Linked DNA regions of Daphnia pulex. The protein of the gene in region 3 interacts with the protein of the main gene of each other region in a pairwise test. Links are inferred from orthologs where the notes say so. Each region holds a gene or a part of one and is shown on either strand. Other genes may lie near its edges.

Region 1 (4,872 bases), on a different chromosome or scaffold from region 3:
AAAAGTCTCATTTCGTTTTGAATTTGTATTGTAGATATGTATTACACTTGAATTAAAATCAAAATAAAGGGAAAACAGGCTTTTAAACACGTTAGTTTATATCAAGGCAAAATAACTGGAACTTCATCCGCTTTTCGAAATTGACGAGGATTCTCTTGTGGGATCTGTTATGAGACAAAATTAAAATACGTTACCAACTACCTGATTACTGATCTATTACATCTTTAAAATCGTACTCAATACTGTCTGGTGTCGTAAGTGGTGGAATCATGTCCGCAGCTTCTGAAAAAGGATTCGAAAATTGCTGCAAGCGTGTTTCATTGGAATTTTTCCCGACGTTAAAACATGCTCGGGATAAGGCAGAAATGTCTGCTGATGCTTGAAGCGCTCCACTGTCTGAAAATTTGTTAACACATGAAAACAAACGACCCAGTTCTGCTGCCACCTCTCGCACGACTCTTTCGAGGATACGAGGAACGAGTGAAGGACTAACCTGAAACCCAGAATAATGAATTGGATGAATATATAACAACTAGAACAAGGACGTCAATACTTGGGCAACTTCTGCATGAACTGCAATCATGTTCATTATTATTTCTTTGCAGTAAGGCCGAATATCATCTGTAATAGGAATATTCTTGTTCCAATCGAAGCGTCCAGCATACATAGAAGGCTCTACAATTCCAATCAGTGGTTCAACCTTTTCTTCTAAATATGCTTCCATTAATCGCTCTTCGGTTTTCTCTAATAGATCTCTAGCCGCTTGAATGGCAGCCGACAGATCAGGATATCCTAATTTGTTCCAGTGCTCTTTCAGTCTAGAAAAATTAAACAGGATAGTAGTTATACTTTAAAACTCTTTCAATTGTTAATCATAAATGTTTAGTGTGTACCTGGGCAAAATATGAAGCATTGTATACTGACAATTACTGAGTCCTAGCAGTAATTTCATTTCACGAGTTGAATCTTCGGAATGATCCTGGTCAGAAGATGCCAGGCGTTCTGTGCTACGCGCAAAACTGAAGAGTAACTTTTGCACTAAGATATTCAAGTCATTCAGTACAGATGCGTTCTCCATCAAGTTAGTTTCTCGTTGTTCTGATTGAAAAACAGTTTCTTTCACCAGTTGTAGACACTCGATTACTTGTGTTTCAAATATATGAGGCTGAAAATTGGCATTGAAAGATAAATGTTGGCATAGTAGAATAGAGCCACATTACTACATTAAAAAATCTCTATATTACCAATTGCGTAATAGACCCATGGGATTCAATAAATTCCAACTTCCAGTTTTCTTGACTGGCAAGATGTGTGATATTTTCAGCAGTTTGCATTAATAGACTTCTCATGCAATGAACTCTAAAAGAAGATAATAAAGCGGAAGTAAGCGAAATATTGCCGATATCGAACTTAATAACCCTACCTTAAATCATGAAGCAAATCGCGAATGGCGTCAAGAGCTTCAACAGGTAAGTCCAGCGTAAGTAATTCAGCATAACAGGTTCGAACCGTTCGAAGACAAAGTACGAACCACGATCCAATTCCTTCTACATAAACGAAATTTGTAACGCAATTATTTTCTATACTGGTTAACAAGATGACTTTACTATATAAATAACGAAAGTAATTACCATGATCAGAAAATATTCCACTGAAGGCTTGCCAAATACCAAATTGAGCTCGATGTGGAGATTGACGATCCAGAGTGTGAGGAATTAAAGCAGCTCTGATGAGTTGACTGAATATTGTTACCACGTCCAATACCATTTTCTATAAATCCGCAATTGAAAGAGAATAAATGTACATGTATACACATAAATAAATAATGGGATTTGAATAATTACTTTGAATTCTTCTTTTTTCAATGTATCTGCCCGAACAAACAATTCCCCAGCGAAATAAGCTTGGCCAAGTTTCCAGAGTTCCGGAAAAACAGAAGTGAACCGATCGTTAAGTTCTTCAAGGAATGTTACCCTTCCCGGCGTAGTATTAGATGAGGATTCAGCAGAGTTAGATGACGGCAACAACAGATTATTGGATCGTTTTCCTTTGGATGGTGCAGATTTTACTAAACCAGCATCAAACAATGTAGAATTAAAATACACGAATTTATTAAATTTTGTTTTGGCAAATCCGCAAAAAATTACCAATTTCTTCTTGCTCCAAACTTAGGTATTTATCTTTACATTGGAATAATATTTGAGAGCAATGCTTATATTGTCCAGCAATACAAAGCCATGCTGGATCATTCGGACATTCAAGATTTGTCAAGTTTCTGTAATGGAATGACAAAATAATTCAAAAGTTTAGGTAAATCAAAATCATGCAAAAGTTAAGCTTTTTCTTGTACTGACCTAATAATTTTTTTTTGCTCTTCAAGTGATGCAGGATACTGTTGCAGTTTCTCTTGTAGCATCTCCCTGAGATTTAAAATTCGCTGCTCTGCTTCTTGCAGAACTCGTTTAAAAACCTATAATACATGAAGTTGCGATTGATCTAAAGTTGGCTCCGGGATCGTTAAAATACACCACACTGCATGACCTAAATATTACACACCTGTACTTCAGTTTGTCCGAACAAAGCATTAGCTCTTGCATAATCATTAATGACCAAATCATAATCAGCCTTTTGAATGTTTTTATCAAGGGTAGACGGTAAATGAAACAGAAATCGGAATCTTTGCAGAATTCCCAAAGCATTTCTGGTGCCGTCAGCTTGTTCTTTACGTTTGAGGACATCGTCGAACAACCGACCAGCTTCGGTTTTAGCGCCTGAAAATGAATTAATTTGTCAATAGTTAACAATTGCTGCTAATATCGCAATAAGAGTGTGCTGCATACTCAAAATGGAGTTTTCCAAAGACGCTGTCATATCCGGCCCGTATTTTGTTTTGTTTTCTTCTACAACTTTTTTTAAAGTCATCAAAGTGTCCATCTGTTCTATAACTGAGCCTGCATGGGTCTTCAATTAATGAAAATATTAGCTGTAAGTATTTATAAAGCAATCTTTTATTTATTTCCAAACCTTTAAAAAGGATATTTGTCCTTCTTTCTGAGCTTCAACCCGTCGTTTAAGAAAGCTAAGCCCAGCTTTCAGATCATCAAATCCGGTGCTGTGATGATGCTGCAACAAAAACCAAGACGGAGAAAAATTTTCACTTCCGAGCTCACCGTTCGATTCAGGAAATAATTCTTGCAGTTCTTCTTCAGGGTATTTTTTTCTATGTAATTGTTTTAATTCAATTAATAAAATATACCAAAACTAAGTGTAGTAGATAAAAACCAACACTGCATTTTCAACAGAAAGTCCTAAAGGGTCATCTTGTTGATAGCTGGAAGGAATCAAAGCTCTGTGTCTTCCAAGTCCAGTCAAATGTGATTCATCAACCCAAACTGCACTTTCTTTTAAAGGGCCAATAGTTTCATGGTAGCCCCTAAACTGTACAGTACATGAACCCTTTCCTCCAGATTTGGTGATTATGACTATATCACCCTTGCTTTTACCTGGACCTGATCTGGCCACAATTTTGTTACTTGAAACCCATTCAGCAGATAGCAAACAATCGGAGTTGCAAATTATTAGACCTACAGAAACAGAACAGACATGAATAACAATTCAACATAAAATTTTTCTTAATTTTACCAATAATATCATCAGGTCCACTGCCGAAATTTTCTCCTCGTATTGTTACACGAGTTCCAGGAGGTCCTTCCTTTGGGGAAACTCCAGTCACGATAGGTGGTAAACCCATTGTTGTTTGATACAAAAAAATTTAAATTTATAGCCCTTTCCACTACGACAGCAAATTCTTCACCCAACTTAAATACAAACGTGCACTACTGCGATTGATTATAAATGAATTTCGTAAAGACTTTCTCACACCCAATAGTCTTTGCTTGACAACTATGAGAGACAACAACATAGCAGACGAAGTTTACAGCATTGCATATATTATCACACACCTGTCACCAGACACCAAAAAAAAGTGAGAAATAAAAAGTATTAAACCAGTTTCTGTATTTATTCAACATGAATTTTGAGATATAGTAATCACATTTTATGACTTGGAAAATCTTTACTTGGTGCGGTATTTCTTGAAAAGGGGGTGTTTGGATAAATTATTTGAAGCTGATGGGCGTTTATATTCCATATAAACTGCGTCATCGGCACCGCTCATTGATGCCATGGTTCCAACGCGTCGTCCAAATGGACCAGGCCGACCTCCAATTTCTCCGGGTACACGCTCTTCATCTGCATCAATATCCGATGCTGTCAGAACCATTTGTAGCAGGTTGGCTTGCTCTTCCTTGCTCTTGTAGTTCAATTCCTGGTCTTGATCCATGCCCGCCATGCGAGTGATGACTTTATAGCTGTATCCTTGATTAACCAAGAATCGCTGACGTTTACGAGAGAAGCTCATTTCCAATGTATCTTGCGATACCAGCGTGTAGAAGAACGCATTGTACTCCTCCGCAATGGCACCTTTCTTGGCTCGAAGAATACGCCCCAAACGTTGAGCTTCTTGACGACGAGAGCCACCGTGCGAGGATATTTGAATAAGCACGTTGGCATCAGGCAAATCGAAGGAAGTATCAGCCACCTTACTGACGAAAATTGTGTTCACCTTCGGATTCAGTTTGAAATTTTGTAGAATTTGAAGCCTTTCGTTCTGAGATGTTGGACCGTAAATGAATGGCTTATTCATGGTAAGCGCATAGTGCTTAAGAGCATACACATTATCCGAAAAAACGATGATTTTGTCATTACGTCGCTCGTGGTAGCGAATAAGAAACTGACAGGCTCTAAACTTGTTAGGATTCATTACGAAGAGAAGCATTTTCTTTGCGGATTTACAGGCCAGATACTCGCGAT
Region 2 (4,847 bases), on a different chromosome or scaffold from region 3:
AATACCTTTGGGGCTAATTCTAGATATTGCCTGCTGTTGGATATTGAGGCAAGGAACCTAAACTTGTTATCTTGGAGGACATATACACCTTGATGATTAGTCCTGAGGTTGTCAACTTGCTTCTTGAAAACTGCACTCCAAAAATCTTTACAGATAGCTTTCATGACTTCTAGCTCATCTTTAAATCTTGATAAATCCTTGGTTAGTCTTAGAAATGATAAATATTACTAAGTGTCACAACTGTCACATACAAAAGGATTTTTTCTGTACCTTTCAATGAATCTATAGCCAGTGGAGTAGCCAATTTGTTCCAATTTAGACATAGCTTCATCCTGTAAGAACAGTCAGTGTTTATTCTGAAAAAGCTATGTGAATTGAACAAAACTTACTCCATCTTGAAGGGAGCCAGGATCAGATTTTGTCACTTGACTGACTATTTCCATATGAAGAAAATCAAACAACGCATCATCGGCCATTTCTTATACACGACAAGTTCGAAAGAGGTAAATAAATTATCGAATATTTTAATTCAGACAAGAATATTCATGAAATTAACTTGAACGAATATGTGCAGAGACGTAAACAATAAGGTTTTCTAGCAGACAACTCTAAATTTAGTTTGGGTTGCGGTTGCCCTAGTATGAAAAACTAATTTTGTAGTTTTTTTTTACAATTCAAAAATATTCCTGATCCCTGAAGACATAATAATACGACTACGCTTGAGTAATATAGCAGTTTTTACGTGAAATTATTATTGAAATAATCAATTAGATTTTCTTAAAGCTGAAATAACGTTTGACGGTTTGAGAGCAGCACCAGCGCTTAATGGTGTGAGTGACGTCATACAATAAGTTTTGACAGGTGGATCTTGCTCCGATATTGTTCGATCATGTTCAAGAAATTAAAGGATAAAATTGCTGAGGAAGTAAAGCAATCTCCGTTACGGCTTCCAACTTCTGTGCAGCAACATTTGTCTCAGGTAGGGATTCTATACCGAATTCTCCGTGTTCATTACCATAAGAGTTTTTACTGTCATGGCTTATTGATGATCAAGTCGGTATTTTTAATATCAACTATTGAGGTCTTTAATGTGCAAGCTATTTTGTCTGGTTGTGGGGCATGGAAAAACAAGCTTTTAATTATGCTGCTTTGTGCTTTTACCCTGTTTTCCTTCACAACCTTCAGTACTCTCCTTTCACTCGGGAAGCACATAATGGTGATGTCATAGAAGCCCAACAGATTCAAAGTGGCCTGGGGGAAAATGCTGCAATTCAAAGAACTCATGAGGTAACTTAGAGATGATATTCAATGAATGATGCATTTTGCAAATTAATTTTGCATTTTTTTAAGTAATTTTGTGCACTCATGTTGGCTTTACAGGACTGTGGCTTTAGAAATATAAGAAATATCAGTTCAATTTGTTATTGTTGAAATCTTGCCTTACCTCTGCATCAACATTACATGCATATCGTTTTTTATGTATTTAATTAAATCCATAAAACTCATTCATCTAATTTTAAATCTTCTCAGACATTAGTTGACATCGCCGAAGATGGAGAAGCAGGAATCAACGCATTTAGCATAGCCGACGTTGATAGTCGACCGTCATCACCATCAGGCTCAAACAAAGAAGGACGATTTCAACCTGTGAATCTAAATGAACCCAAACGAGAAATGACGACCAGCACTCCACAATCTGCTAACCATACCGGTCGGCTATCCCGCCAGTCATCACTTAGCTCTGTTTTCAGTGATGTCTCATTTCTTCCTGGTTCTTCAGATCCGACATATCACCCGTATCAATTCCAGGTACTATATCCTCACCAAAGCATCGAATAAACTAACCTAATCGAATTACGTTTCCTGTCCAGTCGGATCTAGAGTCTAATGTAAGCGAATTTGACGATTCCGCCAGCCAGAGTGGTACGCATGCTGTTGATCGAATATCCAAAGAGCACGTTTATAATGCCTACCAGAAAATGAGGGTGCGCTATCATAAATATAAAGGACGTTACTCTGATTTGGCACGACATTATAAAGAACTAGAGCGCGACAGAGAAAAAGTCAAGGTGGGAATATTGTTTGGTTTCCAAAACACCAATTCTTATTGATTGCTTATTGCCCTTCCATGTAGCACGTACTAACTGAGACCCAAGATCGAAGTCTGCGAAGGATATCGGAACTCAAAGAACAATGTGTTCTGGAGCAACAAGCCAAAGCCCATTTGGAAGAAATTTTGAGGTCGGATTTAGAAGAAAAAGACAATTTAATAGCCGTCCTGCAAACAAAAGTAATATCAAAATTGTCCAAATTTCGCAATATCTCTTACTTTCTTACCGCCCAGGTCAAATTATTGGCTTCCCCTTCGCCTTCCATCTCCGAGGGACCATTAGTAGACTTAAACAATTCCGAGACTGCCAGCAGTAAATCGTTTGATGAGACCGACAAAGATGTGAAGGGAGAAGCTACAGACAATGAAGTTCAACTATTGAAAGGTAATTTTCTTTTGTTTTGTAAAGTGTATATTTTTTTCATTAGAATGGTTCTTTGTTATATTTTCAGAGAAACTCCAGCGTTTTGAATCACTTCTTATGAAATGTAAAGAAAATATTAAATCACACATCGAACGTAACAGCGAGCTTCAGGCGGAGAATGAAACCTTTAAACAAAAAGAAACCCAAAAGAACGAAGAAATCGACAGCGTTCAGGTAATGAGAACGATTACGTTATTCCAGATTTTTTAGTAATCAATGTTGTAATGTTTTACAGAAAATGCATCGAGATCAATTAGCTCAACTTACAGAAAGCTTAAATATGGCCCGAACAGAAATTGAAACTCTACGACGTCAAGAACAAGAAGCTGCTTTGGCATCTGCTGAAACTAAGCAGAAAGTTCATGCTGAACTTGTCAAACAAGAGGAGGAAATGGTTCGGCTCCGTAATGAGCGCGAGCAACTTAATAACAAAGGTTGATTACTTCATTGTTGGCTTGAAAAACGCATTTGTTAAGGTTCATTTTATTAACAATACAGTGACTCTGTTGGAGACAGAAATGGATAAAATCAAAGAACAGACGTCAAAGCAGCTACAAGACGCGGAAGCAGTTCTTGAAGTGGAAAAACAAAAGCTTCTCAAGGTAAATTCTGAACTGTAAAAAGAAAGAGAAAGAATTCAGAGATTCAAAACTTTTTTGTTGCGTTAATAGGAACTTTCGCGTGGAAAAACTGAGGCACTCAAACTAATGGACGAGGACATGGGCCATCGTCTGGAAGATTCGAAAAAGGAGAGAGACGCTCATTGGGAAGCTGTTTTACAGAAAAAGTATATTAGGTTAAAAGTTAATTACAGGAGTTTTTTGTTCATCGCTAAGTATGCTTTATCAGATTAAGTGAAGAGGCAGAAAACCACGCGAGGGTGCTACGTCAGACAGAGGAGCATTATCGTTCGCGATTGGCCGAGATGCAAGAGGAAAAAACTTTGGCTCTGGAAGAAAAAGAGTTGCATTGTGCTTCGCTAATTTCTCGAGAAAAGAACAACCAACAAGGACTGCAGGTTCATAATGATTTTTAAAGAAATGGTTTGAATTTTACTATATATTTTTATAAATGTTTAAACAGGAAGAAATTTCAAATCTAAAGAGTGAGATAGAAAACAAAGAAAAAATTGCTGAGAAGGCCCGAGAAGAAAGCCTGGAAGAGCGACGATCTTGGGTTCAACAAATCGAGGAAAACAGAGAGAGACATTTAGAGGAAATCCAGTCTGTGAGTTTGCAGAATAAAAAACTTGTCGAAGAAATTGAAGAACGTCATCAAAATGCGATCGACACTGCCGTTTTAGGTCTTAAACAACAGCACACGTAAGATTTTTGTTATTGACAGGTAGTGGTAAAATTAACCTCAAGTTCCGTTTGTGTGCGTTTAGGATGGAATTGGAGAAATATCAGTTACAACACGAAGAACTTCTTCAAGCAGCAAATGAAGATATGGAATCTTCTGCCAAGAATCAAATACAACAGCTTCGCACCCTCTTGCGTGACAAAGATTCTGAAACGTCACAACACAGCGCAACGCTTCAGGAATTTCAAGAGCTTTTAAAAAGCAAAGAGCTCAACATCAGCGATCTATCTAGCCAAATAAATGTCCTTCAAGAACGAGTTACTTCCATGAATGCTGTGTCTGAGCAGTTGAATTCGGCGCTTGAGCAGACTAAACTACTGGAGCCATTAAATCTTGAACTTCAAAAAATGAAAGATGAGGCTGCCTACATGATTTCCCAAATGCGTCAATTGGAAGAAGAGAGAGATGTTTTCAAAAATTCTTCAATACAACTACAAGAGAGTGAAAAAGAGTGCGAAAAGTTAAAACTTCAAATAGAAGACTCGACCGCTGCCATAAATGAAAACAAGAAACAATTGGAATTATTAGACGCAATGAAGCTGGAAATCGCCGAATTAAAAGATTCTATGGACCAGAAGGAAAAATTGGTCTTTGAATTACAAGATAAAGCAGAAAAAGCCGTTGATTCCGCAAACGCTAAAGAATCTGAATACCAACAAATTACTGAAAAGTTGAATGAACGCTCGCAAACTGTTCAGGCAGAATTGACTATCGTTAAATTGGCACTAGAAAAAAAAGACGAACAGATTGCTCAATTAGAACAAGCAGTTGAGAAAACTAAACTACTGGAGCCATTGAATCTTGAACTTGACAAAGCCAAAGAAGAAATTGCCTCCATGACCTCCCGTATGCGTCAACTGGAAGAAGAAAGAGATGCTCTAAAAAATTCTTCAGTATGCGATAGCGTTCAAGTTTCTCGACTTAAAGAACAGCTAGAAGAGAGTGAAAAAG
Region 3 (6,144 bases):
AAATCAAAGTTTCGTTGGAAATTTATTCTAACCAATCGACTTGATTGATCACTTTCAGGTCTGGATGACTGGCTGCAACTATTTGGCTATTCGTGGAACAACATTGTCGGTGCGGAATACAGTTCGGCGGCCGTGTTCAGTCAAGTATCTGAAACGGACACGAAGAATGCCGTTGGACACTTTGGAGTCATTTCCGGCTTACGCTGTCTGACTGAAAACGTGCAAAAAGGATTTTCCGTTCTCAGTTTTGTGCCGCCTCCCAAGCTGCGGTCAGGAGGCGAGCTTAGACGGAACCCCCTGCCCAGTATCGCTTACCGGAAGCCGGCCTTGGGTGAAGGTATCCTCCTCTCGCGGGTGGGTGGTCGCGTGTCTGTCACTTTGTTGCCCGACTCGCAGGGCAGCAGCGGTGGCATATTGCAAGACGTGTTGGGTTCGGTCCTGGGCGACAGTTCCACCACCCACTGGTTAGACATCCGCACGGGAATGGGCCAACAGGAAATCTTCTACTTTGTCAAGGAAAGTCTGGCGAAATTGCGCGACGACCAGGAAGATTTGAAGCGTTTGAGTGGCCAGTTCAACATCACGCTCGTTGAAAACCCGACGGAACAAGGAGGCGGGTCTGAATTGCGATTGGCCAATGCGGATCTATCCGTCAGCATCAGCTACGGTGTCGAAGTGGAAGCGGCTAGACAGCGAATACTCCGGTCGTCTCATCGGCGAGCGGTTGAAGTCGCTTGGCTGCGCGAGAAACAGTTGGTGGAAAGCGGATTGCCCGGCCAGCAGGTGGACTGGAGCGTTGAAGAAAGGGTGGAGCTGATGACCAACGGAAGAGTCGACGGCTTTGTCGGCTCGGATTTGCACAGCATCTACGACTACCCGCAATTGGCCGATGATGCCAGCAACATTATTTTCCGGAGAGACGACACCAAGCGAAAACGGCGCAAGAGCCATCGCTTGTCGTCACGCCAACAAAGACGGGGGCAACACTGAAAAAAAAACAGGGTTTTATAATTAATCCACCAAACCCATGATCGTACTTCGAAACTAAAAAATATTGTGCTTTGTAAAAAAAAAAAAATAACAAAAATAACAAAAAAATCTGATTATGATTACGGTGCTCTGTCATTCTAATTTGTAATCTTTGACGGAATCATTTGCGCTGTATTTTTACGTCACCAGGAAAAGAAAAACAAAAAACTGCTCGAGCCGAAAAATGAAGCGTAGTCATCACCGTCTCATGTGATAATCAAATATCGAGATGGAATCCGAGTAGAAACATTCTTCGACATATTTGATGGTTTATTCATCTTTTTTTTTACTTTCCTTCCCTGTCCATTTCTATATATTACAAACACACCCACCAGTAAAAGAGATATATTGAAATCACTACTGACATTGGATCCTGTTTTCTTTTGTACTTTAAGAATTGTGTTTAGAGTTGTAACGTTTTTTTTCTGTTATTCCTTCGTGTACATATATTATTCTGATATTTCTTGACCGAAGCGATGCGTCGACATCACACCGCCAGATTTATTTGGGACTCTTCTCTATTGGCATCATTTGTTGCAATATGTTATTTCTGAAGAGTGTGCGATTTGATGACTCTACATGCCAAAATTCTCCTTTTTCAAATGTGCGTGTGTTATTTGAACATGGCGGGCCTAACTTTTGTGTGCGTCAAGTGTCATAATATTCACATCTTTATCGTATATAATAATCTCGGTATGCAAAACAAAAAATTCATGAATCTGAATGATTATGTGCATCTGATATAAATACATATTGTTGTACTGTAACACTTTTGTGAATTTTTTAAGAAATACGGTTGAGCTAAAATATCCAAAATGAAATTTTCGACACGTTGAGCGTTAAGGAAAACAAATGAACAAATGAGACAAATGAAAATCTAGAAAATCAAGTTTAAGATAAATGTTATAATGTTATATTTCAAGAGTAGTTCTCAGTGAAAATTCGAGATTAATAATTATGGTCACCAGATCTGCTGTACACGCCCCTCGGTCTGATAGTCCACCCCTTCCTCCCATTAAAATTATGAATAAATAATCCGATCGTTTGCTGCACGCGCGAGTTTCCGCGTTTTTTAAAAAATAACCCTTTGACTTCATAAGTTCTCCGTATCACTGTTAGAGGACAGCACCATCAGATGGTGGGTGGGACAGCTTCGTCTGCAATATTGTCAGTTGTCACGAAACACAGCAGACATAATATAGTGTATGCAACCTGCTGGCGATTCAACGTTATTGTTATTGAATCTAATTGTTAGCCGATTGATTGACGATTGATTGACATTTTCTCGTTACTTCTTCGTTTAATAAAATGGCTGCGCTAAGGCACAGTTTGCAGCGAGAATTATTTTCGCCTGCTGAAGAAAGATTAGTTGGATTGGCTCATGTGACTAGTGTTGGCAAGAAAAAGAAGGCACTTCCTTGTTTTTTGTGCGTTGCAGTTACTGCAGATCAAGGCATCGGTGCCGTAATATACAAGGTATACTTACTTCAATTTTCCCATGCACCAAATTATGTTCTTTATTCTGTCATTATTTTCAATAAACAGGTAAAGAAAACTGAGAAAAACAATGTTTACAAGAAGAAGAGTAGCTGGCCATTGAAAGAGCTCAAAACTGTGGATGGTATTGATGGCAACAAGGTATAAAGAAATTGTTTTCATATTTGTCTGGTTTGCCCATGCAGACCCTCAAAGAGTTGTGTCATCTTCTTAAAACAATTGTAATTTTTTATTTTGTAGGAAACAGCTGAATTCAGCATTCATTTTGACAAAGTATACCTTTGGTCTGCATCTAATGTTCAAGAAAGGCTTCTTTTGTTTTCCATTTTATGGAAACTTTGTTCAAAGTATTTGCCGAAACAAAGTCCAATGTTTGTTAATATCCCTCCAGGCATCATAGAAGATTCAGTGATACCAGAAACATCCGTAGCATTAGATCATGAAGGTATCAAATTGAAACTTGTGAAGCATTTTATAAGTTGTTCACCTGTTTGATTCAAACTAGTCAGTGGTCCAATGGATGGAGGCATTGGTGAGGAGGATTATCAAGCCCTTACAGACAGAGAAGAGAAAGACCTGGAACGATTATTATCTCAGTCCAATAATGCCTTGAGTAATGCAGAAAAGTTTATGGAGCAACTGGCTAAGGACTTGTCTTTACTTGATGGAGTATTTTATGCAATAAAAATCTATCATTTGAAATATCATAACTGAACTGATTTCTACTATAGGCAAATATTCAAAGCTTGATGGGCTCTGAAGCTCAAGTCATACAATTGTTGAACCTTCTCGAAGCAGCCGAAAATGAAGCTGCATCCATTGAAACCGAGTTAGACAAGTATGAAAACATTCTACTCCAAGCCCGGGTTGCAATGGCAACAGTAGGTGAAAAGAATGTGTCCCTGGAAACTGCCAACCGTAACAATCGTCTTCTACTTATGGAACTCAATAATTTAGTCGTAAGGCTGCCGTTTTCAATCCTCGTTTATCCGCATCTACAATCAATGTGTTTGTGGTACAGGCACATTTAGATATTCCACATTCCCAGCAAGTAACTTTGAACAATCCAGACTTAAATAGTCCTACAGGCCTTCAAAACGCTATAATAGCTGCTAAATCTCTTCAACGTGCTATGAATGCTGAACTAAAACCAGGTACTTGCATTTTTCGAAACCAAAATAAAATAATTCTATTCTCATTTCTCTAATCGTCACTCTTAAGGACTTGAGAAAATGGTTGCGGTTCAAGATCAGCGACGGCAGTTGGAGAAATGGCGAGCAAAATTTACACCCACAGTTACTCGCCAACTCAACAACCTCTTCATTCACTTAGTAATAAAATCAGTTTATACTTACGCTTTTTTTTCCCTTCAATAATATTTTTTGGTTTTCTTTTTAGAGCAATGATTCTGGAGAAACCAGTAGTCAAAGCTCTAGAAGTTCAAACTCTTCGCAAACAACAGTGTCACTGGCTAAACACGGGAAACTGCATTCTCAACTACAAATGTATGCTCCCTTAATGCATTGGCTAAAAGCAACAGACCATGCCTGCTATGAGAAACTACTCGAAGTATACACTACATCAATATGTAAATTGTATGAAAGAGATCTACGGCAGTTCTTTGATGAAGCGCGTTCGAAAGTGATAGGATTGCGAGAGAAAAAACGTAAGGAGAAGCAATTTTTTATTTGAATCCACCTTTAGTGATTTCTGGTTATAACATGTTTACCGCAGTTCGTGGAAGTGATTCGGGTTCAGACATGGGCACCAGGCATTCCTTGTCTATTAAAAATCCTTCAGGAACAAATGTCGCCGCGGCAAGCCCTAGTGGAACAATACAAATGCCGAGTCAAAATTTGTTAGGGAATGAAAGAGAGCTTTGGACGGTACAATATACTATACGAAATTTTAAATGTGTAAAATGTATTGATAAATATGTTTATTACAGGTTGAAGTTGATATTCATGAAAGAAAACGCCTAGAAGACTTGCTTGAATGCGCACTAGCCGAACTTGAACCAGTATGTCTAGTGGAACAAGAATTTTGTGTCGCATTTTTTGCACTGGATCAAGGAGGCCATGAAGCGGATGAATCATCAACAAGTAACAAAACCCCAGAACGAGCCATTAACGAAGAAGTGCGCAAAATGATGAGCGTTTTGTTTACTGTTCTTGAACCGGAGCTTGTGAGCTTTCTTGCTACTTATGAGAAAGTAGATAGCTTGTAAGTGATTTAGAATACTGTACTTTTTAAATTGGAATGCTTTTTTTTTAATCGCTATTATTATTTCTAGCTCACCTTTGTACGTCCTCGTGAGACTTAGTCAGCATGTCTTGTCTGCAACCGATACCGGTTCCTTCCTCAGTGTTACATTTGGTTCATCTTTGGTGCACGTGAAGCGAGCATTCGATCGGTTTTTTATGACTCAGCTTCGCTCGATTGAAGATTCAAAACAGCCTAGGAAATCCAAATGTGGGATTCTTCCTTTCATTTCTAATTTCGAGGTAAAGTAACAAAATTAAAAATTTGTAAGTTAGTTGTATTTTGAATTTATTTTGAATTCCCCACGGCATCCTTTTATTTCATTTCTAGGAATTTTCTGTGATAATTGAAAATATTTTCAAGAATTCAGAACGGCGGGTTGATGTTGACAAATGGTACACACGTTTAGTCCGAGCCATGTTTGAAGTAATGCCAAGGATTTCTATAGAGAACTCTAGGACTCCAGCTGACATGATCAAAATGGGTATTTGAACGATTATTATATCATTTTTCTTTTAATTCAGAGTTTAATTCTAAGAAACAAAGAAATTCATTGCTATTTGTATTTTGTATTGTTTTTTTAATAGAAAATTTTCATCGATTACACGCTTTGTTGTCACAGCTAAAAATCGCAGTCCTGGAAGCCGAGAAGAAAGAAGCAAAGCAAAAATATCAGGAAGCACTTCAATCATACGTTATACAATATTTTGGAAGGCCTTTAGAGAAACTCAATGTAGGTTACCTAATTAATGTGCTAAAAATGTGAAGTAATTTTGTTTTTTGTTTTTCTAGTTATTTTTTGATGGTGTTCAAGCTAAAGTTTCGCAAGGAGTTAAAGAGTCGGAAATTGGCTACCAAATGGCGTTTAGTAAACAAGAACTACGAAAAGTGATTTCCATTTATCCTGGAAGAGAAGTTAAAAAAGGTCTCGAATCTCTGTACAAAAAAGTGGAAAAACATCTATCTGATGAAGAAAATCTGTTACAGGTTATTTGATTTTTTTAATGTATAAAGCATTATTTAATGTAATGCTGTTTAATAGGTTGTGTGGCGGGCCATGCAAGAAGAATTTATCCGTCAATACAAATCCCTCGAAGACATGATTCAGCGTTGCTACCCTGGTGCGCTCATCACGTTGGACTTCTCCATGAGTGATATTCTTGAATATTTTTCAGACATAGCACGCTCTCACTAATGCTTGATTTTCAGAAACATAATTAAATTACATGTTCAAAAAATTTTCCTAAACAGCGATACATATTGAATGAACAAAAGCAGTATAAAAAATACGTTCATCCCGTATCCCTTTAAGAATAAAGTACCACCTACCAGGTTATCGCATCTATATATAACATA

What was found.
Region 1: the proteins of exocyst complex component 1-like (region 3) and exocyst complex component 2-like interact in binary tests that used the Homo sapiens proteins (3 or more experiments, as listed by UniProt). The link is inferred for Daphnia pulex from reciprocal best matches to the Homo sapiens genes EXOC1 and EXOC2.
Region 2: the proteins of exocyst complex component 1-like (region 3) and golgin subfamily A member 4-like interact in binary tests that used the Homo sapiens proteins (3 or more experiments, as listed by UniProt). The link is inferred for Daphnia pulex from reciprocal best matches to the Homo sapiens genes EXOC1 and GOLGA4.

The regions. Positions count from the first base shown.
Region 1 is NC_060020.1:5,847,950-5,852,821, reverse strand, and holds exocyst complex component 2-like, read right to left. Parts: upstream 3,934-4,872; 5' UTR 3,752-3,933; coding exon 3,643-3,751; intron 3,585-3,642; coding exon 3,287-3,584; intron 3,221-3,286; coding exon 3,025-3,220; intron 2,962-3,024; coding exon 2,841-2,961; intron 2,772-2,840; coding exon 2,557-2,771; intron 2,471-2,556; coding exon 2,355-2,470; intron 2,276-2,354; coding exon 2,148-2,275; intron 2,069-2,147; coding exon 1,845-2,068; intron 1,771-1,844; coding exon 1,632-1,770; intron 1,548-1,631; coding exon 1,424-1,547; intron 1,360-1,423; coding exon 1,245-1,359; intron 1,166-1,244; coding exon 894-1,165; intron 819-893; coding exon 554-818; intron 494-553; coding exon 237-493; intron 165-236; coding exon 92-164; 3' UTR 11-91; downstream 1-10. Other genes in the region: general transcription and DNA repair factor IIH helicase subunit XPB-like, read right to left, coding at 4,076-4,872. UniProt on the Homo sapiens protein: Component of the exocyst complex involved in the docking of exocytic vesicles with fusion sites on the plasma membrane.
Region 2 is NC_060028.1:8,530,540-8,535,386, reverse strand, and holds the start of golgin subfamily A member 4-like, read left to right. Parts: upstream 1-775; 5' UTR 776-889; coding exon 890-979; intron 980-1,185; coding exon 1,186-1,287; intron 1,288-1,530; coding exon 1,531-1,809; intron 1,810-1,871; coding exon 1,872-2,069; intron 2,070-2,134; coding exon 2,135-2,290; intron 2,291-2,344; coding exon 2,345-2,495; intron 2,496-2,562; coding exon 2,563-2,708; intron 2,709-2,769; coding exon 2,770-2,968; intron 2,969-3,032; coding exon 3,033-3,136; intron 3,137-3,205; coding exon 3,206-3,321; intron 3,322-3,383; coding exon 3,384-3,552; intron 3,553-3,617; coding exon 3,618-3,856; intron 3,857-3,921; coding exon 3,922-4,847. Other genes in the region: trafficking protein particle complex subunit 6b-like, read right to left, coding at 6-207, 271-332, 390-476. UniProt on the Homo sapiens protein: Involved in vesicular trafficking at the Golgi apparatus level. May play a role in delivery of transport vesicles containing GPI-linked proteins from the trans-Golgi network through its interaction with MACF1. Involved in endosome-to-Golgi trafficking.
Region 3 is NC_060019.1:8,325,688-8,331,831, reverse strand, and holds exocyst complex component 1-like, read left to right. Parts: upstream 1-2,151; 5' UTR 2,152-2,337; coding exon 2,338-2,505; intron 2,506-2,574; coding exon 2,575-2,667; intron 2,668-2,766; coding exon 2,767-2,971; intron 2,972-3,031; coding exon 3,032-3,195; intron 3,196-3,257; coding exon 3,258-3,485; intron 3,486-3,547; coding exon 3,548-3,680; intron 3,681-3,747; coding exon 3,748-3,857; intron 3,858-3,924; coding exon 3,925-4,192; intron 4,193-4,260; coding exon 4,261-4,412; intron 4,413-4,474; coding exon 4,475-4,749; intron 4,750-4,819; coding exon 4,820-5,030; intron 5,031-5,118; coding exon 5,119-5,272; intron 5,273-5,375; coding exon 5,376-5,521; intron 5,522-5,580; coding exon 5,581-5,775; intron 5,776-5,830; coding exon 5,831-5,983; 3' UTR 5,984-6,135; downstream 6,136-6,144. Other genes in the region: teneurin-m-like, read left to right, coding at 59-990.